Stegostoma tigrinum: one gene and its partner. The protein of the gene in region 1 interacts with the protein of each later gene in a pairwise test. Links are inferred from orthologs where the notes say so. Each region holds a gene or a part of one and is shown in the gene's direction. Other genes may lie near its edges. The genes, in order: epas1b and basic helix-loop-helix ARNT-like protein 1.

Evidence for each region.
Region 2: the proteins of epas1b (region 1) and basic helix-loop-helix ARNT-like protein 1 interact in binary tests that used the Homo sapiens proteins (3 or more experiments, as listed by UniProt). The link is inferred for Stegostoma tigrinum from reciprocal best matches to the Homo sapiens genes EPAS1 and BMAL1.

The regions. Positions count from the first base shown.
Region 1 is NC_081362.1:68,833,680-68,850,588, reverse strand, and holds the start of epas1b (endothelial PAS domain-containing protein 1b), read left to right. Parts: upstream 1-8,478; 5' UTR 8,479-8,863; coding exon 8,864-8,889; intron 8,890-16,909.
Region 2 is NC_081370.1:38,024,114-38,041,058, forward strand, and holds the start of basic helix-loop-helix ARNT-like protein 1, read left to right. Parts: upstream 1-8,609; 5' UTR 8,610-8,812; coding exon 8,813-8,840; intron 8,841-13,093; coding exon 13,094-13,241; intron 13,242-16,945. UniProt on the Homo sapiens protein: Transcriptional activator which forms a core component of the circadian clock.

The DNA.
Region 1 (16,909 bases):
ACTGAAGGTGGCTTTTCTGAGGAGATTCTTTTCTGCAGGACCCAGACAACTCAACTCTGTCTCCTCAAAACCTGTCTACAAGGTACAAGTCAGGTGTACAATGGAATAATCTCCACTGGCCTGGATGAGTGCTGTGGCAACAAAACTCAAGAATCTCAACAAATTCTGAACACTGAATCTGAATTATCAACAACCTTTCTCCTCCAGCACTCCAACTCCTCCCTCAACTATTGCTTAAATGCTGCCCCTTCCACACTTCATGTCAACTCTGGTGAAGCGTCATCTAGACTTAAAACATTAGCTTGCTTTCTCTCCATGGGTGCTGCCTGATCTCTTGCAGTTTTTGTTTTATGCAAGGCAGAGTAGTCTGCTTGACGGGCATCCCTTCCACCACCTCAAATATTCAGTCTCCCTTTATCACCAGAGTATAGTGGCATACATGAATGTAATCTACTTGATGTAAATATGCTAATACTCCTTCAACAGCATCTTCCAGGCCTAAAATCTGGAATGAAAAGGACAACTGATGCCTGAGAACACCACCACTTGGAAGACCCCCTCTAGGCACATACCATCCTAATTTGTGACCATGGGCTGAATCTTATTATCTTTATAGTGTCATTTTCGTTTAGTTTTATGGAGGATTTCTATCCATGAGGCTAAACAAATTTTCTCATATTATCTGAACTTGCCTGGAAAACTACTCACCATGCTTCTGTTCTGGCTGTCTTGTCCAATGTTTGTCCGTTTTTTCCACTCACTGTAGTTAGAAGTACTCACCACAGTGAGAGTATCTTGAGATCCCTGGTGCCAATGTCATTTTTAAATGGTTGTTGCATGTACACTCAAGAAAGCATTGGCTCTCCAGAGCTGTCCTGCATAGTTCATTGCATTTGCCCCATAGCAGATGAGGGGAAATTGGTTCCCCACTCTTGGCAGGGACCGGGGATCCAGGTGGATGGGTAGTATCCTCTTCTCACAAGACTGCCATAGGAGACCACAACACTAGACTTTCCATTGTAGTGTGTGGTTACCTGCTGGGTCAGTGTAATCTTAGCCCAGCGGTATAGGAAAATGATCAATTTCCTTCTCTGCTCCACCAGAAAGTGCCACCATCTTCTTTCTGCTACCCCATATTCACTCTGTCTCTGCTGCTGCACCCACCTCCCACCAAGGTTTTTCCCTCACTCACTATCACCTACCCAATTCCCCCATACTACTAACCCTGCACAGCCCCTATGGTACCTGTTCACTCCCTTGGGACAGCTCACCAACTTTCCCCAGCTTACGGTGATACTAACATCAGTGCCACCCACTTTCATCTCATTCATTCCTTGCCTTTCTTATATTCTATGAGCAAACAGCCCACAATATAGTAGAAGGAGTTAAGATAGGTGACATTTGGCCCCTCACTTCCTATGAAGAGACAATCGTGACTCTAATTGCCCTGGTGTCTCCTTTGACTTGATTGAGGACTACTCTCTTAAGACTCTGAAACATGGCTACTTACTTAAAATGCATGTGATATGTTTCTATGGATGCTGCTGGTACATGGTGCACATATGGGATTGACAATAGCATGGTGCTATACACCAACATGCCCAAATCCCTTGACTGATCACTGATAGCAGCCATGGCTTCCTGGCGTTGCGTCTGTGTGAAAAGGCAAGTGAAGACTGTGTACTTGTTAGCTCTAACTTAGGGGGCATACCATTGAAAGGGAAAGCAAGAGTGGAATGCTGCAAGCATCATTTATTCATTCACAGGATGTGGGCATCACTGGCTCAGCCAGTATTTATTCCCCAGAGTGCAGTTAAGAGTTAACTGTATTGCTGTCATTCTGGAGCCGTATGTAAGCCAGAACTGCAGTTTCCTTCTATAGAGGGCATTAGTGAACCAGATGGGATTTTCCCAACCATTGAGAATGGCTGCAAGGTTATCACAAGATTCCTAATTCCAGATATTTATTCAATTCAAATTCCACCATCTATCATGGCAGGATTTGAACTGAGGTCCCAGAGCATGGGGTTATTGGATTAATAGGCCCAGTAATAATACCACGAGGCCAACACTAGATGCTAAGTGAGTGAATGCTAAGAAAATGAGCAAGCAGCCCTGAGATGCTCTCCAGTGCAACTGAGAGCTGGCCACCTGGCCTTATGTGGAGAGAATCCTTGCAGCAGCATTCGAATGAGAGGTACCACTGTGCTCCAAACTGAAATACTGAAATGGAGCAGTGTATTGTAAGAGTGTCAGAAATATGCCATGATGGTGTGGAGAGGCTGGCATTTACCAGATGACAGTGCTTTGGATGTGGAGTGTGTGCAGCTCCAGAGGTGTCAGTGGCAGATGAAGGTCCAGAGGAGCAAGTAAAGACTTGCAGTTCCTGTGCCCTTGCCCTGACTTCCATTTCAGGAATTCTCAGCATCCAGTTTCTTTCTGGCAGGTGGCAGAATAAGGGAGTGAAAATGAATGAGGCAAATCTCGTAATAATGAGGGTGATAATGAGCGGTGATCCCCATTAATTGGTCTCTTGCTACTCACTAGTTGGAATCTCAACATCTGAATCTTTGTTGGAAAATGAGACTTATTACTACTGATATTGAGAAAGGCCTAGGCCCGAAACGTCAACTTTTCTGCTCCTGAGATGCTGCTTGGCCTGCTGTGTTCATCCAGCTTCACACTTTGTTATCTTGAGAAAGGCCTTGTTTGGCTTCTCGTGCAATTCTTCCAAGTTTCCCATCACAGCCCACACCTTTCAGGGTCTGGGAAGACTCTGCTGATGATATAGTTCCTTCACCGTCACTGGGTCAACATTCTGCCACTGCCTTCCGTACAGAACAATGGATTCACCTACTAAAAACAGCCAAAAGAACTGTGGATGCTGTAAATCAGGAACAAAAGCAAAGTTGTTGGGAAAGCTCAGCATCTATGAAGGAAAACAACAGAGTTAAAGATTTGGGTCTGGTGACCATTGCTCAGAAGTCTCAAAGGATCACTGGACCTGAAACATTAACTTGGATTCACCTACTAAATGGATTGTAATGATTCAAGAAACCAGCCCACTACCAGCCACTTCAAGGGCAATTAAGAATGGACAATACAGCCTGATCTTGCCAGCTATACTCATCTGCCGAGAATTAATTAAAAATGAAATGTTCCTGTACCTTGCATTGCCGTATTTAAAAGCACAGCTCAACAATTGAATAAACCTGTTACAGAGACTGCAGATGCTGGAGAATCGGTGATAACAAGGTGTAGAGCTGGGTGAACACAGCAGGCCAAGCTGCATCAAAGGAGCAGGAAAGCTGATGTTTTGGGTCGAGACCCTTCCGCAGAAATGGGGAAGGGGAAGGGAATTCAGAAATAAATAGGGAGAGAGGGGAAGGCAGATAGAAGACGGATAAAGGAGAAGATAGGTGGAGAGGAGACAGACAGGTCAAAGAGGTGGGGTTGAAGCCAGTGAAGGTGAATGTAGTTGGGCAGTCAGGGAAGGGATTGGTCAGTCCAGGAAGGATGAACAGTCAAGGAGACGGGATGAGATTAATTGGTAGGACATGGGGGTGGGGCTTGAGGTGGGAGGAATGGTTAGGGAGGCAGGAAAGAGCTGGCCTGGTTTTGGGATGTGGTCGGGGGAGGGGAGGTTTTGAAGCTTGTGAAGTCCACATTGATACCCTTGGGCTGCACGGCTCCCAAGCGAAATTTGAGATGCTGCTCTTGCAGCTTTCGGGTGGCATCATTGTGGCAATGCAGGAGGCCCAGAATGGACATGTCATCCAAGGAGTGGGAAGGGGAGTTGAAATGGTTCATGACTGCGACATGGAGTTGCTTGTTGTGAACCGAGCATAGATGTTCCGCAAAGCAGTTCCCAAGCACCTGCTTGGTTTCCCCAATGTAGAAGAGGTCACGACGGGAACAATGTATGCAGTATACCACATTAGCAGACAGGCGGGTGAGCATCTGTTTGAAGTGAAAGGTCTTTTTAGGGCCTGGGATGGGGGTGAGAGGGGAGGTGTAGGGGCAGGTGTAGCACTTCCTGCGGTTACAGGGAAAAGTGTTGGGGGTGTTGGGGCTGGAGGGGAGTATGGAGCGGACAAGGGAGTCATGGAGGGAGTGGTCCCTCCGGAAAACAGATAAGGGTGGGGAGGGAAAAATGTCTCATGTACCACCCCAACAACCTTCGAATCCAATGCATCATCCTTCGACACTGCCGTCATCTGCAATCTGACCCCACCACAAGACAATTTTCCCTCCCCACCTTTATCTGCTTTCTGGAGGGACCACTCTCTCCGGGACTCCCTTGTCCACTCCACACTCCCCTGCAGCCCCACCACACCCGGCACATTCCCCTGCAACCACAGGAAGTGCTACACCTGCCCCTACCCCTCCACTCTCAGCCCCAACCCAGGCCCTAAGTAGACCTTCCACATCAAACAGATGTTCACCTGCACATTTGCTAATGTGGCATACTATATCCGCTGTTCCTGTTGTGGCCTCTTCTACATTGGAGAAACCAAGTGACGGCTTGGGGACTGCTTTGCAGAACACCTATGCTCAGTTTGCAAAAAACAACTGCATTTCCCAGTCACGAACCATTTCAACTCCCCCTCCCACTCCTTGGATGACATGTCCATTCTGGGCCTCCTGCAGTGCCACAACAATGCCACCCGAAAGCTGCAGGAACAGCATCTCATTTTTCGCTTGACTGCCCTACAGCCCAAGGGCATCAATGTGGACTTCACAAGCTTCAAAATCTCCCCTCCCCCGACCGCATCCCAAAACAAGCCCAGCTTCAAAATCTCCCCTTCCCCCACCGCATCCCTAAACCAGCCCAGTTCATCCCCTCCCCCCACTGCACCACACAACCAGCCCAGCTCTTCCCCTCCACCCACTGCATCCCAAAACCAGTCCAACCTGTCGCTGCCTCCCTAACCTGTTCTTCCTCTCACCCATCCCTTCCTCCCACCCCAAGCCGCACCTCCATCTCCTACCTACTAACCTCATCCCAACTCCTTGACCTGTCTGTCTTCCCTGGACTGACCTATCCCCTCCCTACCTCCCCACCTATAATCTCCTCTCCACCTATCTTCTTTTCTCTCCATCTTCGGTCCGCCTCCCCCTCTCTTCCTATTTATTCCAGAATCCTCACCCCATCCCCCTCTCTGATGAAGGGTCTAGGCCCGAAACGTCAGCTTTTGTGCTCCTGAGATGCTGCTGGGCCTGCTGTGTTCATCCAGCCTCACATTTTATTATCTTAGATTCTCCAGCATCTGCAGTTGCCATTATCACCAGCTCATTCCTGCCTCCCTAACCTGTCCTTCCACGTCAATCTCCACCCCCATCTCCTACCCAGTAACCTCATCGCACCTCCTTGACCTGTCTGTCCTCTCTGGACCAACATATCCCCTCCCTAACTCCCCACCTACATTCACCTTTACTGGCTCCAACCCCACCTCTTTGACCTGTCTGTCTCCTCTACACCTATCCTCTCCTTTATCCATCTTCTATCCGCCACCCCCTCTCTCCCTGTTTATTTCAGAATCCCCTTCCCCTCCCCCATTTCTGAAGAAGGGTCTCGACCTGAAACACCAGCTTTCCTGCTCCTCTGATGCTGCTTTGCCAGCTGTGTTCATGCAGCTCTACACCTAGTTAGCTAAGTGAATAAACCTGACTTGTTTTCAGCACTAAACTCTGGTCTCTGCGTCTGAGAAATGATTGAGTCCTTGGCTTGCTTCAGCTTGTTACCCTGAGACACATGCTACAGCGAGGTCTGATGATCCAAGGAATACAAGTGTTTCCCAATACCTGAATGTATTTAGGCCATGAATATGTGAACGTTATTCACAAATACATGCATTTAAATGAAGAATTAAACTTTTCCTCAACATGCAGGAAGCAATTGTAACCTTGCAGTCAATGCTTTTAAAGGCCTAACTTCATGGTGGTATAGTTAATTCCTTTAATGTTCTTCTCCACACCTAAACTCTATGAAACATTTTCTGGGAATCCTTTAATTCCTGACACTAGTTTTCTTTCCACTATCCATATTGAGGAATCCTATAATTGAACTAAATCTTCACCTTACTGCAACTTGGGAAATAATTCTCAGTCGCTCATCTAAAAATAGCAGTATAACTGCAGCCATAACTTTGTCCTAGAAGCTATTAATAGATGATAAATCAAGATTTATATTATTAAAATTCCCATGATATATGAAGGGATTTCCCAGCTCTTAACTGTTTACTGGAACATTTTTTCCCAGAACTTCAATATTACAGCAGATCATTCAACAGTTACAATACAGATCCTCATTCAAATATTTTTACATACCCTTTCAGGGAGACTCAGTACATCTTTAACTGTTACACTTAATGCCCTTTGTTCTGAAGCACTTTAGTAGCTATCTGGGGAGAACCCAAAACCTTACAGAACAGGCCAAACTCAAAATGTGCCAATCTGCAGTCCTCACTATCCTCCATGAGGCACTGGCTCAAGTGTCCTAAACAGCCAACATGTACATCTTCCAGAGCACTTCGAACAGTGTTGCCTTCATGATATCCTCAGATCCATTAGCAGGACTGTATCAGAAACACTGAAATCCTGGAGACAGCCAGCATCACCAGAATTGAGGCTATCCTTCTGCAAAACCAACTTTGCATTGGTCATGTTGCCTGGATGGACAACAATTGATGGCATAAAATTAGGTTGTACAGAAAGCTATCCATTGTAGCAGGAACAGAAGGGCCCACTTACAACCATTTCTAGTACTGCGTGGGGAAGTCACAATCTATTTATCACACTGACTATTGCTAGTGGGTGGAGTGGGTCATAGATTGTGATGCCTAGACTTGCTTCATCAGGAATGCTACAGCCACCTTTGGAACTGAGCGTAGAATTACCAGGAAAGAGATAAAGAATAGATCCAATTGTCCCCAACAGTGACTACACATTCATTTGCATCTGTGTGGGAGAATTTGCTGGTCACAGATGAGACTGACGCCACCAGCGAATCTGTATCCAATGGATAGTCTTTCCTCACGAAAAATTGCCAAGCGACAGTGGACCTTTGTAAATCGGTCTCGGACTGCAAGTGCTTTGAACCTGAGTGGAAAACAATTCCAACGCAGAATACTTTCTAAAAATATTTCAAACGGATCTCAGAGCAAAGTTTTGGGAAGTAAAAACCGAAAGAAATACAGATGCTGTAAATCAGAAACAAGAACAGAGGTTGCTGGAAAATCTCAGCAGATCTCGCAGCATCTGTGCAGATAAAATCAGGGTTAACGTTTCGGGTCCGATGACCCTTGCCCAAACTCGGACCCGAAATATTAACGCCGATTTTCTCTTCACAGGTGCTGCCAGACCAGCTGAGCTTTTCCAGCAACTTCTGTTTTTGTTTCAAATATTTGATAAGCCTCTCTCTGGTGTAGGAAATATTCAGAGCAGTAGAATAAACCAGGTTGAATTTTGCTGAAATGAAAACCGAAGTATGTTTAGTTTGAAGACTACTAGGTATGTTTTGTTTATCAATTCCAACGCCACCGTTTTCATACTTATTGTGCTGGGAATAAAGTCTTTCAGTTATGTGGTTGGAGAAGTTGGGTTGATCTCCTTGGACAAAAGGTTGAGAGCACATTTGATAGAAATGCTGAAGATCATAAGTGATTAGAAATTACTGGCCAGAAAGGATAAAGAAAGAGGATACTGATTTAAGACAAATGACAATAAGGTCCAAAGTGACGTGAGGGCAATAATTTTTAATTCGCCAATTGGTGAGGACCTGGAATGCACGTCGAGAAATGTGATGAGGACAGATTTCGTTGGGGAATTAGATAAGCAGCTGAGGAGACGGAAGCAATGCAGGGGCAGTGGGGAGGAGCGGGGGCAGGAAGAAAGTGGAGCTGTTGTAGTAGGTTTGACAGAGGTCTAGCACGGAACCCACGGGCCGAATGGCTCTCTGCTGTGCTGTAACCAATCTTCAATTATATAGTATTTAAATACTGATTCTGCGCTGGTGATATTTTTTAAGGAGCACCGATGGGAAATATCTAGGGAGTTCTCTTAACTAGTGTGTTTAGAAAACGTTATCAATTGAGTGAGATCCTCATGAGATGAAGAAGCAACTGGAATCCATCCGAGGACCATGTTGTTTGGCAATTTTTTTATTCCCTTGTCTAGTTTACGTGTAGTCAGGCAATTTCGTCACTAGTATTTCTTTCCAAGGAAATCTTTTAACAGATAAGAACTTGTGAACAAAAAAAATTATGTAACAAGGATGGGTGCTCCTACCCCGTCCGCTCCCAACTGTTCCGGCAGAGAGAGTGGGGAAAAAAGCCCCAAAATGACCCAGATCGATGGGCGGGGCGGGGCCCGGCCGCAACCTATCGCATGTCGAAAATCCATTTACGACCTGTCATCTGGCCCAAGAAGGACGAGAGAGAGAGAGAAACCCCGCCTTCAGCCGAAGCTTGAACCTCCCGCCCCAGTACGAGAGTCTAACAGCGAAACTTTTTCTCCTGCCTGTCCTCTTTATAATTGGTCTTTGCCTCGAAGTGGCTGTACAATCCTCAGCAGTGTTCTGAGACTGTACGGTCGCCTCTCGTTTCCGGGTTGCTTCATGATCTCAACTGTTTGACCCAACTAGGCATTTAAAAAAAAAGAAACCCACATGAAGAGATAAGCGAGAGAGACTGACAAAGCAAAGAAAAAAAAGCTTCGTGAGCAAGGCAGAGAAAGTGGAAACAAAAAAAATCAAATTATGCTTCTTTCTATCCGTATTACACTGTAAAATTGAGCCTCCGGTTGTCAACAGCGCTTCTCGGTCTGTTTTTCTTTTGCTTCTGTGAACTTAATCGTCCAAACCATGACAGCAGAGAAGGAGAAGAAAAGGTAAGAAATGACATTGCATTTGTTCTGATGAAGTTAGCAATAATTTATTTCTGATAAGGTGCGGGCTGATTTTGTCCATATCATTAAAAAGTTCTTGAGGGACTGGACTCCACACCTCCGACATTCGGCGTAAGCTGACAGGAGACGGGAATAGACGAAATGATCAATAATTAACCGTTCTCCTTGTTTTTGATTGGGGCGCTCGGGCTGCGTTCTGAAGTGTTGACAGCTTGCCTGTCTCTCGGAGGCTATCAGCTGCTACCTGCCTGTAGACAGACCTGGCTCTGAGGGCCAGCAATGTTGGCAATACGTCCCTCAAAGCCTTCCCCAAGGGCAAAACCCAGAAGGGAAAAGTTGGCTCAAACTGAGCGAGTGGGCCTGCGCTGTTTAAATAGTGACCTATTGATCGATCAATGTTCTCCTTCACCTGTTTACATTGCCACTGCTGCGCAGTGTATCATCAACAGGCAGGCGAGGCCTGGCCGACAGACTAGAGGGGGCAACTCTGTGGTCGGGCATGTCATCTCCCCGATGGAGAACTCGTACCGAACAGCAACTTTATCGAGGTTATGAAGCTTTTGCTCCCGACTACTATGGTACATTTGCGGCTGCACTAAAAAAAAACCGACATTTCCCCTCCTTCCTCTCTTTCGAGAGAACCTTTGCATTTCGACAGAACACGGAATTTTACAGCAGGACTTTTATAATATAACGGTGTGTTGTTATTTGCAAGGAGAATAATACCCTCAGAAACTAGTCAGCCTGCAAATGGCTATTGCATTCATCTCCAAATGACTAGAGGTCGGCTGGAATTGAGTGTGACAACGCGCCCTGAACGACAGAAGCATCAGACAAGCCTCTGTACAGCCCACATCTGCTGAAGGTTCAACATTGGATAAAAGCAAAAACACAGACATGCAAAACAAAGGATGCATAGATTGCATCCAACACCCCCTCTCCCCAACCCCCGCTCGTGTCCTGGGCATTTGGAGAGAGCTGCTGGTTGCACCTAAGGAGTGACGTTGGGACAATTTGTTGGAGTTGGTGGCTCTGGGTAGTTTTGCTGAGTGAAATGGCGTCCCTGAGGTAGAAAGGACTCACATTGTCAAGGTGCGGCTAGCTACTGTTAATACTTGAGCGATTTCAACAGCAGCTTTACCGTCAGTGTGTGGGTGAAAGGCAGGGTCTGTCCTGAGGCTGGGTTAGAATCAGAAACAGATTAAATGCCAGTTGAAGTTAGACGTAAGCAGAATGTCGAATATGGTACTCTTAATTAAGGAGTTTGCCTGTCCAGAATTACTACTTCGTCGTGAGGGCGGAATCAGGAATGAGATTCACTGTTTGTGATGGCAGTTGACCTTAACCCAGTCCATGCAAGCCCAGTTGGTAGTTAGGAAGGCAAATGCAATGTTACCATTGAAGTGGGTTAGAATACAAGAGTAAAGATGTACTATTGAAGCTGTGCAAGGCTCTGGTCAGACTGCGTTTGGAATATTGTGAGCAGTTTTACTCCCCATACCTAATGAAGGATGTGCTGGTGGTTGAGGGGGTCGAGATGAGATTTACAAGAATCATTCCTGGGGATGAAGGTCTTGTCTTATGAGGAGCAGTTGATGTTTCTGGGTCTTTACATCATGGAGTTTAAAAGGATGGGGGTGGGGTGGGTGGGAACTTGGAGGGGGGATCGCTTATTGAAATTTACAGAATATTGAGAGGCCTGCATAGAATGAACGTGGAGAAGATATTTTCAGGAGTAGAAGAGAGTAGAAACCGAGAGCACAACCGCAGGGGATAGGCCTAAAGAGAAAACCTTTTAGAACTGAGATGAGTAGGAATTTCTTCAGACGAGAGGGTGGTGAATTTGTGGAACTCATTGTCACCAAAGGTTGTGGTGCTGAGTCATTGAGTGTATTTATGACAGCCATAGATAGTAAAGGGATCAAGGAAGGAAGACAGGAGAATGGGAACCAGAAACATATCTGCCGTGATCGAATGGTGAACCAGACTCACTTGGCAGACTGGCCTAATTCTGCTCCTATATCGAATGATCCTCGTCTTATAATGTGTTGACTATACCCCATTTACTAAGCATATCACAACGTTTTGAGGATACAATTTAAAACGGAAATTGGAACAATCATAATGAGAAATTACCTGACAAACGTATGCATTTGAAGAAGCTTCGCTATCCGTAATCTGGGTTGGAAAGCCTCTAAATATTGGGGAGCTGTGTTGCTGGGGTTTGGGTCGTGCCAATCTATTCCAAATAGATAAACCATGAGGAGCGCAATATGTCAACACATTTCTGATAACGCTGGTGTGCTGTTGATGTTTACTGAGTTATAGTCATATGTACAAGGCAACTTTTGTTTAGCCAATAGGCTTTTATTTATTTGACAGTTGCTGTTAGATTTTGCGTTATGAATTGAAAGGCTGTAAAGACTGACTTGTGTCCTCTGCGCATTCCTGACGAAATTCATATGTTCTCAGAGACTGGACAGTCCCGCTTCCAACATTATTTGTAAACGCTTCAATAAAACTGATTTCGAGTCGTGGCGGATTTTTTTTTAACAGGTCAGGACTAGTTTTGGCGTTCACAGAAGAGGGAGAGAGAGAGCAAACGAAACTTTCTCACACTGAGCAGGGACTGTGACTTTTTAGTTTGTTATCCTTTTCTGTTCGATGAGGGCTAATGCTTTCAGTGGCTTGGACAGCAGGTGGTTTATGTTTTGTTCTGTTTTATGCCGGGAAGACCGAACTCCGCAGTTACCTTTAAAGACGGCTGGTTCAGTGCAAGTTACAACACGTTATAACGCCGACATGAGTGATAGGACGATTGTAAGTGAATGTGTTGGGGCCGCTTAGCTCCGATGGTTCCGAGTGTGACAAAGAGTGATGACCGCGGCGTGGGTTCGCTCCCTGAATCGGCGCTTGTGTAGGGAGCCTCTCAAACCCTTATCCAACTCATTCAGTCTCTCTAATTGATAACGAAGACTGGCTAATGTGTCTCAGAGCAAACGGGCCTCAATGCCGGCGTTCAATACGAAGCATCCCCTTGAGAGATTTAAACCTAATTTGTGTTTACTTTCTGTTCAAAATAACTACAGAAATACCACGTCCTGCTTTTTTACATGTAGGAATCCAGAACAAAGTTAGCTAGCAGCAGGAACGCTTTTGGGGCGCTTTCTGACCATGATTCTGACTTTAAAAATCGATTTGAGTAATGAATATATGCAATCTGCAGGTTGTTTCCTTTGTAACACTTTCTACAGAACGCCCTTTGCTGACTCCTGCACACTTGACAACAGCCAAAAAATGGGTTTAAAGTCCAGCTTCATTATGTTTCCAGTCTTGAAAGTAAAGACACTACAGGTCCATTCTGACGTCCCCAAACTCCCCCACACCCCCCAACTCCCACTGACCCGGTGGGGTTCAGTGGACTGTGGGGTGACTAGAATGGTGTTTATTTTGCCTATCCCATGTAAAGGTGCCAAGTTGGAGCGCGTACACCTTACTGAAGTTTTATTATTTTACCACATACCTAACCTGCCACCATAGATGCACCAGAGATAATGGGAACTGCAGATGCTGGAGATTCCGAGATAATAAAATGTAAGGCTGGATGAACACAGCAGGCCAAGCAGTATCTCAGGAGCACAATCAGAGATGAAGGGTCTAGGCCCGAAACGTCAGCTTTTGTGCTCCTGAGATGCTGCTTGGCCTGCTGTGTTCATCCAGCCTTACATTTTATTACCATAGATGCACGTGTATGTTTGTCAATTTTTTTTAAAAAAAATTGAATTATTATCGTCACATGTACATAGGTACAATGAAAAGTTTCGTTTTGCGTGCAGTGCAGGCAGATCAAAGCATACAAGATGTATAAGGGTAATAAAACAGAACGATGAATAAAATGTTACGGCTGCAGAGAAGGTGCATGCAAATATTAGCAAGTTTGCAATTGGGCAGAGAAGGTGCATGCAAATATTAGCAAGTTTGCAATTGGTAATTTGTGCATGAAGACAGGGACAGTCCAGCGTCTAGTCGTCCCTGGAGTGAGATCCACCGTCACTCCTGACCCGTTTAGTTCCAGCTTGAAGCTCGCTATTCCTATGAGCCTGATCAATTCTTTCTCAATATCCTTGTTCAAATAACGGTTGAAAGCGGAGCTTTGAACCCTATGTTTTTAAACATTGAAACATGTTTGCTCGAGACTGAGATTTCTAGCAACTATTCACAGTTTGGCAAATCTGTGGTAGAAGACGCAGTCTCACACACAACTCCCGAAAAGCCGCGGGCCCATCTAAATCACACAGAATAAAATGCCTGTAATCTGTCACTTAAACGTGCGTTCAGAAATTAAACTCTACTATTTTGGAAATCTGAAATGAGAACAAGCAACATCGGGTAGGAAAGATAGCCTGGAGATATTTATATCTCGTCATTCTTGTACATATACTTACAAAGGTTGCACAAACTAAATATATATCTGTATATTCACATATAAATTTTACCCATTTTCTGCTTGAGAATACATCGTTGTGATCAAACTGACCGAAGTGTCGGATTAATATCCGACTTGTTAAAGCTATATTCTGGAGGTTAAATTAAAAACAGATTGTAGTTATTTTGAAAAGGAAATTATTTTCTGGGATGTTGGTAGCCCTGCCCGGGCTGTTTTTGCTGTGTATCCAGAGTTTACCGATAGAGCGGAGTTGTCTCTCATAGCGACTCCAGAGAGGGCGTGAATCGTGGACCGGTGTCAGACTTGAGATGCGTAGCCACTTCCCCTGTTTCAAGGACTTCTACATTTCCTCATTTTAAAAGTTGAAAGCCATACGTACGAGACAGCACCTGTCCACGTCGCATTAATACGGAGAGGTGACATGGGCTTCATAAGGAATGTGTTGAAGTTACACATTGTGTCGTGTCATTTTGGTCAATTGACAGCGTAAGTGCACTGGACTGAAATCTCAGCTGGGAACTGTGTTCATAACAAGCGAGTGACACAAGGATCGCGATTGTGGTGCGGCTCGAGCTGGCCTTCAAGCAAAATTCCATGTTAGGCCTCGTAAATTCACTCTCAACTATCCAAATTTCCCATGCAGATGTTATGTTTGAGAGATAGGCAGTGATCTGCAAGTGGGAGTGAAAGAACGAGGGTCGGCAAAAGTGAATGGCTGCAGTGGTAGCTATTTGGTTGTGAAGCGGATAACAAGTGATCTGCATAAAAACACTCCCATGTTTTCTTATGTTCAGTAGGTGCTAGAATCCCATGATGAGATCACTAAGCTGTTATTTTGAAATATGGACATGTAACAAACAGGTAGATATTTCACAGAAGTGAGCAGCGCACTGCCACCATGTCTCAATGTGCTGGTCCCACAGCAGAATGACTGAGGTTAATAGCCTCAACAATATTTCTTATGTTTAGTATTTCTAAACTTGTTTATATAGAAAAAAATGAGAAATAAACATTTCAAATGAAAGCTAAAGCATAAATGTAGACATTATTATATTTAACATCCTGTAAAATCCTGTGAATGTTGGACATCTGAAATACAAACAGAAATTGCAGTGGAAACACAACATGACTAGTAGCATCTGTCAAGAGAGAAACAGAGTTAATGTTTCAAGTCCAATATCAGTTTTCTTCAGAGCTATTATTGTGTTACTCAACTACGATGACTGCTTTCCAGCTTTAAGATGTGATTGATGCTGTTAGATTCAGCCCAACCAACTTTTCTCTCGAATCAAATAGTGAGGTTGTGATGTTCAGCAGCAATTACACACTTCAACACTCATATGAAATGGTTTTCTTCACTCATTTAAAATGATTGCTTGTAGTTTATGTTGATGAATTAAGTTCCAACTTGATGTGCTTTCAGACCATTCACTTACTTAAATGACCCAGAACATTTTACATGAGAAAAGGCACCGAACAAAGGTTAGGAAGAATTAGGGGAAGAGACCAAAGTTGAAGAGGTAAATCTTAGCCAGACACTTTGAAAAGCAGAAAGAAATAATTAGTTTATGGAGATTATGTAGGAGAGTGACATCATGGAATTTTAGTGAAGTACTAATTCGAAGGGATATAAAGGAGGTCAGAGTTTGAAGAGCAGTCAGCATGTAGAGATAATCACAGAGTGGGGAAAGCATGTGATCAGAGGGTTTTGCAGACCAGGATCGAGTTAGAGGCTGAACAAGTGAGGAGCAGGTTATAAGCATCAGAATTGTGGTAATGTTTTGTATGGTGGAGTTTCCCGTCACACCTGTGTAGGGCATTGATTACTTCTAGTGGTTTTTCTCGTAAACTGGTAAGCTCAGGTTTGTGCACATTTGCATTATTGCTGGAAATACTGATAGGAAGACATTTCAAAAGAAGTGATCCAGGTGACTGAATTGGCCCATGCTAGATCAGACCCAATAACATGGGAGTTATTTGATCCCAGCATTGCTGCTCAGATCTCAGAATGGGATTTTGCAGTAGCAATGGAAGTAATAGTGCTGAAGCGAGGAAATCTGTGTAAACACATTTGTAACATAGATATAACATGCTCAGAGCAATCCTTCCTCTTTAATCTGGCATTTACATATATATTTACACAGATTAAGAAAATGCAAAGCAAAATTAATTTCCATAAAATTAGCTTGCATTAAATTTTACCTTGTGCAATACATGATGCTGCCTTGCTCAGTTTGAAGTTGCCTAAAATGTGTTGCAAGTATTTGTCATTGCCAAGAGTAACAGTTGTATTCCCAGGACATTCCCTGTTTGGAGAGGGGCAAGAAGAGGAAGCGATCTGGGAGCATACTATATTGGGCTTCTGTTCTTATTATTATAAGCCAGCTGGAAATTCAATTTTGTTGGTGCTTTGAACCCATGAACGTGGGACAAATTATACGACAATGGGAGAATTGGCAGCTGTGAGCCTCTTGTGTTTTGTAGACCTCTTTGGTCAGGTCTGCTTAAACTCTTCTGAAAGGAAAAGTTTCATTGCCTGTTCTATCAAACAGCATGATGACCGAGTTGTGACGCATGAAATATACTGGGGCAAGTGAGAAATGTAATTGTGCAGATAAAAAAAAACACAAAAATGTCTGACATATGAAACAAATCTGGAGAAAGCAGGAAATGCACAGCAGATTGGTTAACATTTGATAGAAAAGAGATTGATACTTCAGCCATGGTTCCTGTTTCTTTCTGGAAAATTCTGTCTGATGGACCTGAAGTGACAACAGACTCATGTTTGACTGGAATGTCCAAGTAATGAAATTACTCAATGGCAATCTTTTAGGTTCATACATGAAGGATGACCAAAGTCACCAAGTGAAAAAATACCTCTGAGGAATCAAGAAGGTACATATTTTAAACTAAAAAGATAACACATGAAATGCTGGAATGCTTACAGCATGGCCTTTGCCTGCACTGTGGGAATGATAACAAATTTTCACTCACACTTTTCAAAATCTAATCAATCAATCAATAATAGGAACACTCATCATTCCCTTTTCATGTGATTATAGTTTATGTGTTAGATTTTTTTAACCAATAAGTTTGTCACAACTAGTGGGTGAAACAAAAGGTTAAGAATTCAGTTGGAAAATTTTGTTTCCTTTAGACTCTAATCATTATTAGTGACATAATTAATAGCCTGATTGTGTTTTCTTTTCTAAACATGACTGTAACTGAATGGAAAACAAGCTATTCATAATTCAGATAGTTTGTATTTTAAAAGACTAGTTGATGAAATAGGTTATGGTAAATTATCATGAATGATTTAGATTATCCAAAAAAGGGATGACTGTGAGAGCAAAGGAGATTGCTCAGTTGCTCACCTGATAATAATAAGCTGGAGACATCAACATTGCAACAACAAAAAAAATTATTGCTATGATAGCACAGTAGAAATGAGAGCAGTAACACCTTACAATGGAAGGTCATAACAAGTCTTGGCATAAATTACAAGTGATTGGAGACTACAGGTGATTAAGTACAGGGTCGATAGGATTCTTTTTG
Region 2 (16,945 bases), on another chromosome or scaffold:
TTAGAGCAAAGCACAACACAGGCAATCAGTCTATTGAATCTATGCCTGTTCTTTCCGAGAGTTCAGTCCACTACATTTTGTTTGATTATTGACAATTTACCTAATTGCCTTTTGCTAATGAACCTGTGCTCAGCGTCCCATCACCGAATTCTATAACCTGACTGGGATGTTATTGTTTTCTGAATAGTAGAACAGGCACCAGCCCTTACTTCCCCTATGGACCCACTCTGACCTTTGCTGCCTCCAATCCACCTCTCCAGCTGGAGTTCCTTCATTTGTTTTATCCATCACTAACAACGCCCTTCTGCAGCCCGTTGCTATGGCGACCACCGCCGCCGCCCGTTCCCGAGCCGGGATGGAAAGGAAGCCCCGATTGGTCGACCCAGGACAAACGAGCCGTCTATGCGAGCTGTACTCCAATTGGTTTAACTTCCGGCTTGTTGATTGGTTTATTGTCCGTTTTTCTAACAGCATCGCCAATCACCGCGTTGTAACGGTTCTGATTGGCCCGCGTCCGACGGCGACCGGGTGTCGACTGGTTCGCCCGAATAGGGCGGGGACAGAATTCCACTTCTCCGAAGGTGCGGCTGGCGGTTCGGTGATCCGATTGGTCAATATGGCAGCCACGCGTGATGATGGACAGGAAGGGGCGGGATACCAATGGATTCAGGTCAGTGGTTACGTCAGTGGCTGGAAGTAGGTCAGTGGAACCTGGGTTGCGATATCAGAGCGGTGGGTGTTTGGTGGCTGTACTGTTGTTGCAGCGACGTTTAGAAGCTGGTGACAAGATAGCACACCCGCAGAGGGGAACGCCTTCCAGCATCCCGTCTATTGCAAGGTGAGTGACCCACTGCCGCAGCTGAAGCTGCAGATATTTCTTGGGCTTGGGCTTGAATACTGTCTCTACATCTGCAGGTTTATCCAGTTTGCACTCACCTGGAACTAGAGCCAATGGATCCCCCCCTCGTCTCACTTCATTTCCCCCCCCCCCCCCAAATCACCGCACACGTACCTCCGACAATGTATTTGCACCTTTGCAGACATTGCTTTCAGTTCGAAAAAGGCAAAAGAAAACAAATCGGAGCACATTCGTGCTTTTTCCCTTCCTGTCTTAACCAATAAGCCATTTTCTCTCTTTTTAACAGTAAACAACTTTCAACTTGCACCGCATCATTCAGAAGCTACTTTGTGCAATCATGCAATTTGCAGTGGTGCAAATGCCCTCTTTTTCTGCCGATTGTGATTTTTGTTCCGTTCTGTGGTCTGAAACGGTGTGAATGTGCGTGTGTGTCTGACTTAGCAGTCATCGGTGCTGGGTTTGCCGACCAAAATCTCTTACTCCCATCAATACTTACATATTGCATCCTTCCTGCTCACTTCGCCTTCGCCATGCTGGCCTTCTGCTGAATAGGCCTAAAATCAGGAATTCCTTCCTTAAAACCTTAAAAGTGCTGCCTGCCTCAGCACTTCTCAAGGCATTTCTGAAAACTTGGATTTTCTGATAGGTGACCAAATGACCTATCTTAATTACTGACATAATTTTCATTTAATACTACTGCTGTGGTGTGCCTTGAAACTTTTTACTCTGTTAAAGATTTTGCATGCGTGCACATTGTTGCAGATCAAAGGGACTTTTTGGATTGGTGTGACAAGAATAAAATGTATGTGCCAAAATCAAAAATAATCAAGTGATGTTGAAAAGTGACTCCATCAGTTTTTAAAAAAATGTGGAAAAGTTTGCATTTGGGATATAGACTTTTTTTAAACTTTATTTCTTTCAAGGGACATGGGTATCCCTGGCAAGGCCTGCTGCCCACGATTGACTCGCCTTGAACTGAGTGGCTTGTTAGGCTATTTCAGAGGGCAGTTAAGAATCAACCACGTCTTTGTAAGTCCGAATCACACGTAGGCTATGTCAGCTAAACAGAGCAGATTTTCTACCCTGGGTAAAAGTTCATTTAAGAGCCTTTTTTTTTGTTTTTGAAAATTGGTGAAAGTTGGTACTGTTTATTATTATTGACACCACTTTTATACGGCAGGTTTATAAACTGAATTCAAATTCTATCAGTTGCAATTGAGGCATTTGAACTTGTGTTCCTTGGAACATTAACTGGAACCTTTGGATTACCAGTCTAGTGACATTGCTGTTATGCCCTTTTGTGATCTGTAGTGTGCTGTGCCTTGTGTTAGAATTGCTTTTCCAACCATGTTTTTCTGATTTTTTTCAACTTGAAAAATGTTAATAGCTATAAATAGCTCTGGAAAATGGCAAATGCCTTATTTTACATGTTTGATCTTCATAAGGTTAATATCATGTTTTGTATGCTTCCACATCCCAACCCCCCTTGCCTGTAAACATTTGAATAGCATTTCATTTACTACATTGTAAACTTCAGCTGCTTTGACCTAATAACCTGGAATATGTCCTCTAAACATGTTCAGTTTCATGCCACTTCTCTTTTAAAATGCTGTAAAGCCTGTATTTGATGAGGATTTTGGTCCCATGTCATTGATAACTCACTGCGTGGTTTTGTATGAAGCACTTTATAATGTCCTACCATTGTTATTAAGTATGTTTCTTGTATTTGGGGCTGGTATTCTAAGACTGTGTTGTGCAATTCTGCTCATTTTGCATTGTGATCTGAAAATATATTATTTTGAATTATTTATGGTTATTGGTTATGGATATTTGGTATTTATGGTTCATACTTTGTACAAGGTGCATCTTTGCTGCTAATGCCTACCTTAGCATTTATATCCGGTCTTTGTATTTCTGTACGAAACACCTTGTAACCTTCTGTGTGTCAAACTATTTCACAATCATGGTGCAATCAGAAATGTTCTGATTTCTGTATGTGTTAACCGAGTGGGATTTTTCCTCTCGTTTCTATGTTATTGATATTGTAATAGTGTCCTCTGACCAGCTTCTGCAAGAGAACATTCACAATTTCTGTTCTAATAGTGATTGAAGAGAAATATTTTTTATTACATCTGAAGTACTTCCACACCCTGCTAAACAAAACACTGGTCATCTTGTTAAAGATTAAAGTCATATTTCTAAACAGTTTAAAATTTGTCTGTCTGTGTATCAACCTTAATCAGAGGAGATCATTTCAGCTAGTCCATCATATTTCAAAGAAGTTATTTGAAGAAGGTAAATTTCTGCTTGCTTTGTACAGTTTCCCTCCCTGTACCCTCAAACAAGACTGGGCACTCAAGCAAGTTCAAGGTGGTCTTAGTTATGGCCATTAGGGGCTGCAGTCAGTCATTGTTACTTGACGTAAGCTAAGGTGTGTTTTAGTTTCTGGGACAAAATCTGGAAATCTGAAGTCTTCTGCAAAGGGAATTTCTAAAGCAGTTTGAGTTGTGACCTTAAAAGGTGCAGAAAATGTTCACAGTCAAATATCCATAACCACAATAAAAAACACTGATACAGTGCTTTCGTGGCAATTGAGCTCTTTACAGATAGGTTTTAAAGTGTAGTTGCTGGTTTAATGTAGGCAAAATGACAGGCTATTTGTGCACAGCAAAAATCCACAAACAGCAATGTGATAATGAGCAAGTAACCTGTTTTGGCGAAATGATTTGAGGAATGGATATTGGCCAGGACATGGGGGAGAATTGTTTTGCTGTTCAAAATGATTTGACGTTTACCCAAGCAGACAGGTTAATGACCCATCCAAAAGGGACCATATCTCAGTTCTTTGCTGGAGTGTCAGCCTTACTTTTTGTTCTCAAGCCCTAATCTGGACATGGAATTTGGCGGCAAGGATATGACCCACAGAATCAGAGGTGACACCGATCTCTGGAGGGTGCGTGACTACACAGTCTTTAAAATAGATCGAGGTGTCACTAGAGTAAAGGTTTTTAAAATTTATTTTGTGCAATATCAGAGGGTAGATGTAGAGAAGATGTTTCCACTTGTGGACAGCAGAACTAAGGCCATATTTATAAGATAGTCACTTATAAAACTAATACAGAACTTACGAGAAACGTCTTTATCTAGACACACGTGGAATTCCCTCGCGAAAAGGGCATTTAGTGGAATATAAGCACAGTACATGTGATTAGGAGTATATTTCTCTGCTGTTCAGCCTGCTGTGTTCCAGATGATCCTAACATGGTAAACATATGAGGGAGAAAGGAATAGAATGACATATTGATATGGAGGAGTTTCTAATGGCTCACAACACTAGCATGGACCATTTGGGCTTACTGGCCTTTTGAGCTGTAAATTCTATGTCATTACATGTTTTTCTGTGGAAGGTCAGTTATTAATCCTAGTCCCACACTATATCAACTCAATCACCACCTCCCCAAGATTGCTTCTCCTAGCAGTGCTTCCTCTGGCCACTTCCTTCAGCTGTTGCACTTTTCTATGTAAGTAGCCTGTGCATTTTACTTTTTAACCACTTGAGAATTAAAAAAAACAAATACAAGAGGTCGGAGTAGACTGCAAAGCCTGTACTGTCATTAGTAACATCATGGCAGATCTTGGACATCAACTCCACTTTCCCATTCACTCCACAGATCCCTGGATTCTGAGAGATTTATATTTATTGTTTTCTTTTTGATTATAGCAGAACGACTTTCCCATTGCTAAAATTTACTGTAACTTTCCTTTGTGTTTTTTATTCTTTCTTTTAAACACTAATCACCACCAGTAACTGCACGTGTAGTTAATTAAATATTTATATGCAAAGCCCATTATGGACAATGTGAACGATCAAAAGTGAGGGAGAGAGGGAAGGTGCTAAGAGATTTGCCATTATTTAACATCTTTCTTGACTTCAGGGAATTCTAAGGCACTTTACAGCTGATGAAGTATTTTTATAGCCATTGTTATATCATGTGATTTGTGTGCAGCCCCCTCCCACAAACAGCGTTGTTATAATGATGAGAGAGTTTTGGTGAATTTGGTAAAGGGAAGAGTATTGCCTTCCTAAATTCTTACTGGACTAACGTCCTGAATCTTTTGCATTCAACAAGAATGTTGCTTTAAAGCATATCCTGTAATGATTGGGACCTTAAAGTGAGTATTCCTTCAGTACTGCACTGGGAATGTTACTGTCTTTTGAATGGAGTTGGACCCACAGTTTTCTAATTCAAAGCTAAGAGTGTTATTCGTTTAGCTGCAGCTGATCTGCAGGATTGATGAGCCTCGATTTGAATTGTGTAAACCCAAAACATAAATGTTTCCTGCATCTCTGCTGCCTGACCTGCTGTATTCCTTCAGCTCCACGCAGTGTTGAGTCCTGAAAGATGTTGCAGCTTCCTGCTCCAGTTTGTTTTGTTAAGAAGTTGAATGATATAGTGTGGTGAGGGAAATCGTAGTGCCAGATGAATTGACATAAAAGTTATCTCTAAGATATTTGTATTAATATTATGCATTAACATTGCCAACCCTCAGTACTGTTTTCCAGTGATGCCCATTGCTTCCATTTTGCCGAGCAATTTCTTATCCATTTTTCTGGTTTTCCTGAGTATTCATATTTATGAAGGCAGTGAATAATTTGAATTCTGGATGTGTGGGCAAGTTTGATGTGGGAGTCGGAATGTCATTCTGAAGAAAAAAAGCTGCACGTTAAGTTCAAAGATGAGCTGCATTTGATATTTTCAGGGAAATGCTTGTAAGCTGAGAAATGTTCCCATTAGTTATGATGTTTGATGTCAGCCATGGCTCAGGAGGTTACCACCACCCCCCCCCCCCCCGGCTCCTGAGTCGATAGGTCACTCCCCGGAGATTTATGAATACAAACATCTTGCACATTTGTACTGACAGAATGCAGCGCTTTTGGAGGTTTCATCTTTAAGAGGACACTCGCGGCCTCTGCCTCTCGGGTGGGGGAATAAATTCCATGGCATGTTTCCAGGAGCCGCATGAGCATGCTCCCTGTTGTCCTGACCAATAGTTTAACACTCAAGCAGTGCTTACAAATGCAGAAGGCTGATTATCACAGTGCTTTTTGTAGAAACTTGCTGTGTGCAAATTGACTTCTGTATTTCCTACATTGCAACATTTCTGTCATAAATACAAATTTGAAAAACTGGGCTCCAAGGATTGGGGAAATTCTGTTCCACCATGGACTTTAATTTGCAAATGTCCTGTGGTTGTTAGGATTAGGCACTATCTCTCTCCCTAGTTACTGCCCCACTTATTTGACTCCTGTACCTACTTGTGAAAGCACTGATTAGTCGTTGATTTTTTTCCAATATGTAATAATCTGAGAACTGCTGAATGTCTTTCCTTTGCTTGCAGCGCATGTCTACATCATGAAAGCTTGCGCACATCACAAGGTAGTTGTTAAAAGTGAATGAGATTAAGCATAGACTTTACATTTCTTTAGGTATTTCACGCTTCCAGTATTATCTGCAATCATCTTGCTTCCCTTTTAACAGAGCTTCTTTGAAATTGTTGCTCATAGGAACAGCATGAAGTTGTCCAGCCCCCAAAGCTGTTCTATTGTCCAATTGCATAAGAGCCTCTCCTGTAAGCTTCATTTATTCTTATCCAACAAAATCTAACTGTCTCTGTTTTGACATTATGAATGGACCCCCACCAGGCCCAGCACCCTTTAGAGGTGAATTCTGAGTTTCTACTGCCCCTATTTTTTATTCTTTTGAAGTGAATCCTCCTGCTTCACCTCTAAATGAACTGGTTTAAGTTTTAAGGTGATGCCCCCTTGGCCTGAATTTTCCCCCAGCAAAGGAAATAGGTTTGTAAAGGAAAACCATCAATTTCTTCCAGTATCTGAAACATCTGAAGTACAGCTGTATTGATTTTCTCTGGTCAAGGGAATTCAGACCTGGCCTATTGTCATAATTTAGTATCATTCTGATGAATCAGTGCTCCTTCCCGGGCAAATGGATTCATTCTGAAGTACAGTGCTTCTAATGGAATCTACACTGAGTTCTCTCTAAATTCCATCATAATGTCAACATTTGTATTTCAGGCCCTTGGAGACAAGAAACAAAATTGATGAAAATGTCATTTTTTGTACTACTCTGAAACATTTAATGATTTCTGTGCACCCCAAATCTCACTGTTCTCCAAGTCTTCACTAAGTTACTGTATCAAATATTTTCATAAATGCTGCCTCCAAAAGGTTACTCGCCAGCCTTTTCTAACCATTTTTTTCCAGATAGACTTGAACTCTTAATTCTGGTAATATGTTTGTATAACTTTAGTTTTGCAACTTCCCTGGGGCCTGTTAATCTAATTTTATAATGCAGAGGTCTCTGCATAGTACTCTACATGTGATCTAACAAAGTCTTGATGCCAGCTTAACACATCTTCTCTGCTTTTTAGTTGTCTTCTTGGAAATGAACCTCAGTGCTTTGTTTCCTTTTTCCATGGGCCCCCTTATCCTGCTTTGCTACTTTTACTGATTCTTTTTTTCTTGTGTATCTAGACTGAACTGTGTCATAGGGCTCTGTCCTTGGGCCTCTACTGTTTGTAATTTTTATTAATGACTTGGACGAGGGAATTGAAGGATGGGTCAGCAAGTTTGCAGACGACACAAAGGTCGGAGGTGTCGTTGACAGTGTAGAGGGCTGTTGTAGGCTGCAGCGGGACATTGACAGGATGCAGAGATGGGCTGAGAGGTGGCAGATGGAGTTCAACCTGGATAAATGCGAGGTGATGCATTTTGGAAGGTCGAATTTGAAAGCTGAGTACAGGATTAAGGATAGGATTCTTGGCAGCGTGGAGGAACAGAGGGATCTTGGTGTGCAGATACATAGATCCCTTAAAATGGCCACCCAAGTGGACAGGGTTGTTAAGAAAGCATATGGTGTTTAGGCTTTCATTAACAGGGGGATTGAGTTTAAGAGTCGTGAGATCTTGTTGCAGCTCTATAAAACTTTGGTTAGACCGCACTTGGAATACTGCGTCCAGTTCTGGTCGCCCTATTATAGGAAAGATGTGGATGCTTTGGAGAGGGTTCAGAAGAGGTTTACCAGGATGCTGCCTGGACTGGAGGGCTTATCTTATGAAGAGAGGTTGACTGAGCTCGGTCTCTTTTCATTGGAGAAAAGGAGGAGGAGAGGGGACCTAATTGAGGTATACAAGATAATGAGAGGCATAGATAGAGTTGATAGCCAGAGACTATTTCCCAGAGCAGAAATGGCTAGCACGAGGGGTCATAGTTTTAAGCTGGTTGGTGGAAAGTATAGAGGGGATGTCAGAGGCAGGTTCTTTACGCAGAGAGTTGTGAGAGCATGGAATGCATTGCCAGCAGCAGTTGTGGAAGCAAGGTGATTGGGGTCATTTAAGAGACTGCTGGACATGTATATGGTTACAGAAATTTGAGGGTGCATACATGAGGATCAATGGTCGGCACAACATTGTGGGCTGAAGGGCCTGTTCTGTGCTGTACTGTTCTATGTTCTATGTTCTATATCTTTGAGTGTAACATCACCTGTCAAAGCTCATTGTGTGAGACAAGGGTTAATTTAGCAGTGATGGTGGCACTGATTCTTTCCTGAGCAGCTGATTCATCTGACCTACTTTAGGACTGACCTTGATTTATTGCTCAGTAGAGGTGTTAGCCCCACGATATAATCAGCTTTGGTGTATGATTAAGCCAGTCATGTGACTGCTCCTTCAACAATCGAGCGATGAGAAAATCAGGCCTTGCTGCGTGAGTTCCCTTTTGCAAGTCTGCTGAAGGTTTGATTGCTGTGTGAATTAGCAGAAAGAGAAGGGACAGCCTATGAGATAAACTGTAGCGTTTCCACGGCACCACAGTTGGCATTTGCTCAGATTTCACAAAAGAAGTCGCCTGTATGGCATGTATTCAGACGGCCTTTAATGTATCTTGGCAACACAAATGGCTCTGGTAATTAGTTTTTTTTAAACTTCCTCCAAGCTCCCTGGCATATTGTTATTCAGAATCCATATTGAGTGTGTATAGCTTATGCAAGAACTTTTGAGTACTGCCGTAGTAATACCATAAACTTAGTGTACGAAGCTGTCCTGAAACATGCGTTGACATCATAAATACAGGTGTTTGATTCAATTGCTATGAGGTTAACTTGAACCATAACAATGCGCATATGTGAATGCTGAAAATATGAAGTTTAATCATTCTTTCAACAACATTTTTCTTGGGATGTGTGTGGATGGTATGTCCAGCATTTATTGCTCCTCCTCAGTTATCCCTAGTGGTGATAACTGCTGCCTTGAACCATTGCAGTCCATGGAGTGAAGGTGCTCGAATAGTAGATAACAAAGTGTGGAGCTGGATGAACACAGCAGGCCAAGCAGAATCTTAGGAGCACAAAAGCTGATGTTTTGGGCCTAGACCCTTCTTCAGAAAAGGTGCTCGAATAGTATTGCCTGACAGAGAGTTCGATGATTTTGACTTTGCAATGATGAAAGAGCAGCAATACACAGCAAAGCCACAATGGTGTGTGACTTGGTATTCCCATATATTTGCTGGTCTTGTCTCTCCAGGTTGTGGAGGTCATGGTTTTGGGGGAACCTGTAAAATCTATACGTCTAACTATGGTTTTATGGTCTGTTTCTGAGTTCACTTCCTTTGCAGTAATAAAGTGTAGTTTTTTTCCAAATATCATTAACTGTTGCATTATATGAACAGCCAACTTCTTTTTCTTTGTAATCAACTATCCTCTTGAATGAGACAAGTAATTTCTTCAGCCAGAGGCTGGTAAATCCATGGAACCCATTTTAGCAGAACACTGTTGAGGACAGGTCATTGAGTGTATTAAAGACGACAGATAGGTTCTTGATCAGTAAGGGGATCAAAAGTTATGGAAAGGAGGCCGGAGAATGGAGTAGAGACACATCAGCCACGATTGAATGTTGGAGCAGATTCAGTGGGCTAAATGGCCTAATTCTGCTCCAATATCTAATGGTCTTATGCATGTCAGCTCTCTTTTTGTCTTATTTTCCCTTCACTTCTGAGCCAGTTGTTCTATGTGCAAACAGCTTTTGTTGTTTTTTATCTTCTCCTTTGGTTGATATTCTCACTGTCAAACTCTGATTGGATTCCCCATTGCACTTGTCGACTAGAACTTGGTTGATTATCTCTTGGCAAGAGATGAATTTCCCAGAAATCTTCTGGAAAAGGAGGATAAGAATGGTGTTTGTCGTTACATCCGTCATCCAGCTGTGCAAAGTAGTCCACACGTCCCTCCCTCCAGTCTGGTTAGATATGGTGGATTAACCTCTGTTGGTGCCCACCTTCTTGGACCAGTTCTGATTGATACTTATTGTTCAATCTGGGGAGAACAGTACCTGTTTTCAAAGTCTGCAGCATTATAATCAGTTGTAGGACATCCTCTTAAAATGAATAGTTGTTTCCCCGCATAGTGAGGGAACTTCCTGTGTAGTAGGTTAACAATAATGTAGTCTTGGTGAAATTCACAAATCACCAGAATTTCCCAGTTTAATCTTCAGGATAGAAATGTGAGCCACCTCGTAGAAAAAATAACCAGAGGGACAATAAATTTATAGTGGAGGGTGTTGAGGGGACAATCGGGCATAGGAGGAAGAGGGACGAAGGATTCTGAATAAGGTAACGAAATATCTGTTTATTTTGGCTGGCGAGACATAGTACTGCCAAGGTGTGCATGTTGGGTAACTAGTCATGAAAGCTCCAAGAATGGACCCAACCAGACTTTGGTTCAAACAACCTTTTCTATCCTTGCACTCCAACACTGGCCCCTTCCATCAGGTATGAGCCATGTCAAGTTACGTTGAAATCTGGACTAATGATATTGACAATGCAATTTCAGATCCCACCATAGTATTCTGAGAATTAAATTCAATTAAAACAATAATCAGGATATTTTTTAAAAAACTGGCCAGTCAAAGTGTGCATGGACTATTGTAAAAACGTAACTGGTTTATTAAAGGCCTTTAGAACGGAAGGGAACTTGTCATTCTTGCCTTTCTTGGTGTATATGTGACCCCAGTTCAACACTATGGCAGTCCACTCTAGTTGAATGTATTTCAAGAAGCTTAAGCACACGCCCTTTTGCCCCCCCAGTTGCCTTGCCTACAAACTCTAATTCCACACTAACTGCCCTCTGAAATGGTTTGGCAAACCACAGTCATATGCCAACCATGCCAGGGACACCTACATGCTGAGAATGAACCAACAAAATGTTTTGTGCTGCTGTCCTTCATTATTAAAATGGTATCCAGAAGCCTTCAATCTGAATATACTAATTTTCCACAAATTGTCTAATCACTGATTCTGTCCTCACCCTGGTATCTACATGAGGTTTGACCAAGCATTTATGTAGGCTTGGTATCTTGCATGACCCCTAGCTGAGAATTCAGTTTACTATCTCAACAACACCAATGATAATTAGCTTAGAGTTACAGTCATACAGCATGGACACCGACTCTTCATTCCGACCAGTCCGTGGCGACTATAATCTCAAATAAATTTGTCCCATCTGCTTGTGCTTGGTCCATATCCCTCCAAACCTTTCCTATTCATGTACTTATCCAAATGCCTTTTAAGTACTGTGTAACTGAACTCGCATCCATCACTTCGTCTGGAAGCTCATTCCACACGTGAACTATTCTCTGCATTTTTAAAAACAAAAGTTGCCCCTTGTGTCATCTTTAAATCTTCCTCCACTCACCTTAAAAATGTCCCCAGTTCTCGAAACCCCTACCCTAGGGAAAAGACACATGCAATTCACCTTTTTCTATACCCTTCATAATTTTATAAACTGCCATAAGGTCATCTCTCAACCTCCTACACTCCAGTGAAAAAAGCTCCAGCCTGCCCAGACTGTCTTCGTAATATGAACCCTCCATTCCTGGCAACATCCCAGTAAATTTTCTGAATCCCCTCCAGCTTGATAAAATCCTTCCTGTAACGGGACGACGAGACATAGACACAGTACTCCAGAAGAAGCCCTACTGATGTCCTCTACAACCTCAACATGATGTCTACTTCTGCGTTTTATAATGTTGTCTTCATCCTCCCAGCTTCAGCTCATCTGCTGTTGAAGCTGTCAAATGTCTCCCCTCCAGATTTGACTGTTCTGAGCCAATGTTATGCCCTCCTTTGCCTACTTCGCAATAAATTTCATTCATACATCATGTCAGCGCTTGCTGATTGATATGGGTTCTCAGGCTAGCCAAGCATCAATTTTAAAATTCTCTTGTTCTGGTTTGCAAATTTTTCTACAACCTCACCCCTCACTAGCTGTGTAATTTCCTCCAACCCTGCAGTCCTAGATCTCTACACTCCTTTAATACCTGTCTCTTGCATGTTGCCAATTTTAATCACTTCACCATTAATGCTTGCGCCCTGACCCAGCTGGGATATTTCCCTAAAATACTCTTAGTGCAAGTTGTTGTTCATGTCCTTGGTCAATATTTGTCTGTCAATGCCTAAAAATAAATTATTTGATCATTTGCACACTTGTTTGTGAGGAAGTGTGTGTAAGTCACTTGTCACATCTCCTAAGTGAATGTACTTCAATAGAATGTTTTATTCATTTTATAAGCTTTGCAATCATCTCAGGGCTGTGAAAGCCATGATATCAATACAATTTTGGAAGGAAGTGGGACATTGTTTTATGCAGGTAGACCCTAAGGGTAGCTTTGATTCTCCATTCACATTGGAAGATGAGACAATCATTAGATATTTAACAGCAGCATTTGGCTCATGCTAATATTTATGCAGTTGTCAGTTTATTGCCTCATCCAAAAAAATGACACCACTGACAAAACTACACTCCTTCAGTACTTGGTGGAAATATTGATCTAGATTATACACTGTACACCCAGCCTGGCAGGGGATGTGGGTTTTACCAATTTGATTCCTCACATAATACACATTCTTGGTTTCAAGATATTGTGGTTAGGTGATGCCAGGGGAGTCTTGAAGCACTTTTTGGACCTTGGAGCTGAAAGATGCGACAATTGCGTGCCCTGAACACTCCTCATCTAAAATGGATCGCATGATCAATTTGTTTTTTTTCTATGAGGATAGCTGCATATTTTTTGACAGAAGTTGACAGGGGGGTGGGGAATGCATGACAACGAGGTGGTCTGTTGACCTGGAAGGTAATTGTAATTCTGTACTTCACAATGTTCCAGATTGTCCAATGGCAGACCAAAATATGGACATTTCCTCAACAATAAATGATCTTATCTCGTCGGATCCAGCTGGATTAATATTGAGCTCCTTGGGCACAGCAAGCATGGACTTTAACCGGAAGCGCAAAGGAAGTTCAACAGATTATCAGTAAGTTTTTAAATAAGGGTGGCTTTATCTTCGGTTTGACAACTTCTTTGCAACACATCCTCGATTATAAAGAGGGAATTTATTATCCTTTCTTCTAGAATCTAGTTGATTTGTCTTTGCTGCTCAGTCTGTTTTGTCTCTTTGAGATAGGATGGACAATGTTGTAGATGTAGAAAAGAGTGAGGAATGTCAAGTTGATTGCATGGGCATAGGGGCTGTGTAGGATTTGGTATTTGGGAATTTGGAACGATGTAAATATATAAGTTTATTTCAGGCTTTTTTTTTTGTTTGTTTTGACTATTAAGTGGATCATCTCCATTCCAGAACCTTGAGCATTTCACTAAGTTGACATTTCCCTTGCTGGTATCACCGCAATCAGAAATGACAGCTGTAAACGAAAACGTGACTGGAAAAGATTCTAGGTATTATTGTGAAGAAGTGAAAGGAAGCTCTCCCTGGTGTCCTAACCGATTTGAATCCCTCCATCAAAATCTCACACAGAACAAAAACCATCTGGTCGTTGTGCTAATTAGCCACTGTTTCTTATATTGCAACCCTACCTACACTTCAAAAATGACTCTAGGCTGCAAAGCCCTTTGGGATATTGTCAAAGGCACTTTTTTTGGTTTTTCTCTGTGACTCTGTTCTGCTATTTGTTTCTTGGAGAGAATAGCCTGAGGTATTCTTCAGTCACATTTAATTATGGCACAACCAAAGTAATTTATGAAGCTGTTGAAAGTTTTTAAAAGAAGACCATGGCAGCTAAGATGATACCACCACTCTGAGTAGAGGAAACTTAGAATTGGGGAACAGTTTGTTCTGGATGTTAGTTCACAAGTAAGCCATGCCATACCACACCAGACCATTGTCCTGTGTATGTTGCATGAGTAACCTTAAATTTTATAAACTGTGAGATTCTGTTGTCAGAATAATTAATTTTGATTGGTCATTTTTCAAGATTGCATCTTCGATATGTGCAATTTGTTAAGAACTGATGTTAGTCATTCATGGATTCTAGTTTGTAACAATTGGATTGGATGCCAATTATTCCTTTTGTACCCGCACTGATTTTTGATGTAACACTGTCACAGAAGAGCTTTCATTTATATTGTAGTTCTTTTTCTATGTTTCCAAATGCTCTACACCCAAGTACTTTAATTGAAGCATAGCCACTGTTGGTTTTAGATGAAGGACTGGCGATAAGGACATGTTACCTGCCAGGTCTTGGCTGATGTCGTCCAGGATTTTATAAGAAGTAGCTGCTGAGGTAATAAATGCTCTGGCTTCAAGTTTCAAAGACTTGCTACGCTCTAGGAAAGTTTCGCCAGGTTGGAAAATAGTGAACGTAACTCCTCTATTCAAGAAAGAACAGACATAGAAAGCAGGAATCCACTGGCCAGAGCGCTTAGAAACTATCTATGATCAGGCAGAGTCAACATGATTTTATGAAAAGGAACGTGAGTGATTGATATGAGGTAAGTGTGAAGCTGGACGAACGCAGCAGGCCAAACAGCATCAGAGGAGCAAGAAAGTTTGACGTTTCGGGTTGAGACCCTTCTTCAGAAATCGTAGAGGGGAAGGGGATTCTGAAGTAAATAGGGAGAGAGGGGGAGGCAGATAGAAGATGGATAAACGAGAAGATAGAGTGAGATGAGACAGACAGGTCAAAGAGGCAGAGTTAGAGCCAGTGAAGGTGAATGTAGGTGGGAAGTTAGGGAGGACGGACAGGTCAACAAGGCGGGATGAGGTTAGTGGGTAGGAGATGGGGGTGGGTCTTGAGGTAGGTCAGTCCCCACCTACACTCTCTCCTTCACTGGCTCTCACCCCGCCTCTTTGACCTGTCTGTCTCCTCTCACCCTGTCTTCTTTATCCACCTTCTATCCGCCTCCCCCTGTCTCCCTATTTATTTCAGAATCCCCTTCCCCTCCCTCATTTCTAAAGAAGGGTCTCGACCCGAAACGTCAGCGCTCCTGCTCCTCTGATGCTGCTTGGCCTAATGTCTTCATCCAGCTTCACACTGTGTTATCTCAGATTCTCCAGTATCGGCAGTTCCTACTATCTCAGTGATTAATATGTTGGATTTCTCTGAAAAAGTAGCAAACAGCAGGGATAAAGGGGTAGCTGTGAGCTTGCTGTATGTAGATTTCTAGAAGGCATTTGACCAAGCAGCACATTGAAGCTTACTACTCAAAATAAGATCTCATGGCATTGGGAATAACATATTGGCATGGAAAGAGAATTGGTTAGCTAACATAAAATAGAACAGGCACTAACAGATCATTTTTGGGTTTGGCAAGATGTGGTAAGTGGAGTGCCAGGAATCTCAACTTAGATCTCAACTATTTACAATTATTATCAACGAATGGATGAACAAGGAGTGTATGGCTGCTAAATTTCCTGATGACACAAAGACAGGTAGGAAAGTATGTTGTGAGGAGGGCGTAAGGACTTTACAAAGGAATATAGATTGGTTTTGAGTGGGTAAAAATCAGCTAAATGGAGTAAAATGTAGGAAAATGCAAACTCCTCCACGTTGGGAGGAAGAATAGCACAGCATGTTATTTAAATAGAAATTACAGAGCTCTGAGGTGCAGAAGGATCTGGATGTCCTATTCATGAATCAGATAAGTTTAGTGTGCAGGTACAGTAAGTGACTCGAAAGGCAAATAGTGTTGTCATTAATTGCAATGGTAATGAAATATCAAAATAGTGATGTTTTGCTACAGTTGTATGGAGAATTAGTGAGGCCACATTTGGGTACTATGTACTGTTTTAGTCTCCATACTTTTTTTTCAAGAAAAGTATGGAAACTACATTGGAAGTATTTCAGAGAAGTTTTTCATTCAAGTGATACCTTGTTGGGACAGGTTACAGTTTATTTTATGAGGAAAGGTTGGACAGGCTGGCTTTGTATCCTTTCAAAATTTTGAAGAGTAAGATGTGATCTTATTGAAAAATCTTGAAGGTACTTGACAGTGTGGACACTGGGAAGATGTTCCCTCCACAACCAACAACCCCCCCCCGGCCGTGGAGAGACATGAACTAGGGGACACAGGTTCTAAATAGGATGAGGAGAATATATCTATGAAGATCATGAATCTTTGGACCTCTCTTCTGTGGTGGTGCAGGCAGGATTGTTAAATGTTCTCAAGGCAGAACTCTAAATTAATAAGTGAATCAAGCAGTATTGGGAGTATATGGGGAAAGTACAACTGACGCTGTAATCAAATTAGACATGATCTTATTAAATAATGGAAAAAAACTCGAACAGGTTGAATGGCTCATTCCTTCTATTTTGTATGTATGCTGTCGAGCAGAATGCAGTACTGGTGGGTGTAGGAGATTATAAAGGGACATGGTAGATATGCAAAAATATGTTAGTTAAAGTTCAGTGTGAATAAATATAGGTCACTCACTCTGAATCTGAGAAGATAAATTGGCATATTTTCTGAATGGTGCAGCATTAGGAGTTTAAAATGTTAAGGGTATCTGCTAGGGAAAACATGGAGAAACTATTCCTTCTTGAGCAGAATCCAGAACAAGGGCATACAACTCAAACCAGAACAGTTTGCCATTGAGGCAAATCACCGGCCTCTCCTGGAAATGTGGTTACTCCGGAAACTCTTGTCCTGAAATTATTGGGTTCTGATATCAAATAGTTTTAGTTGGAAAAAACCATTCATTCAATCACCATTTTCAATGGG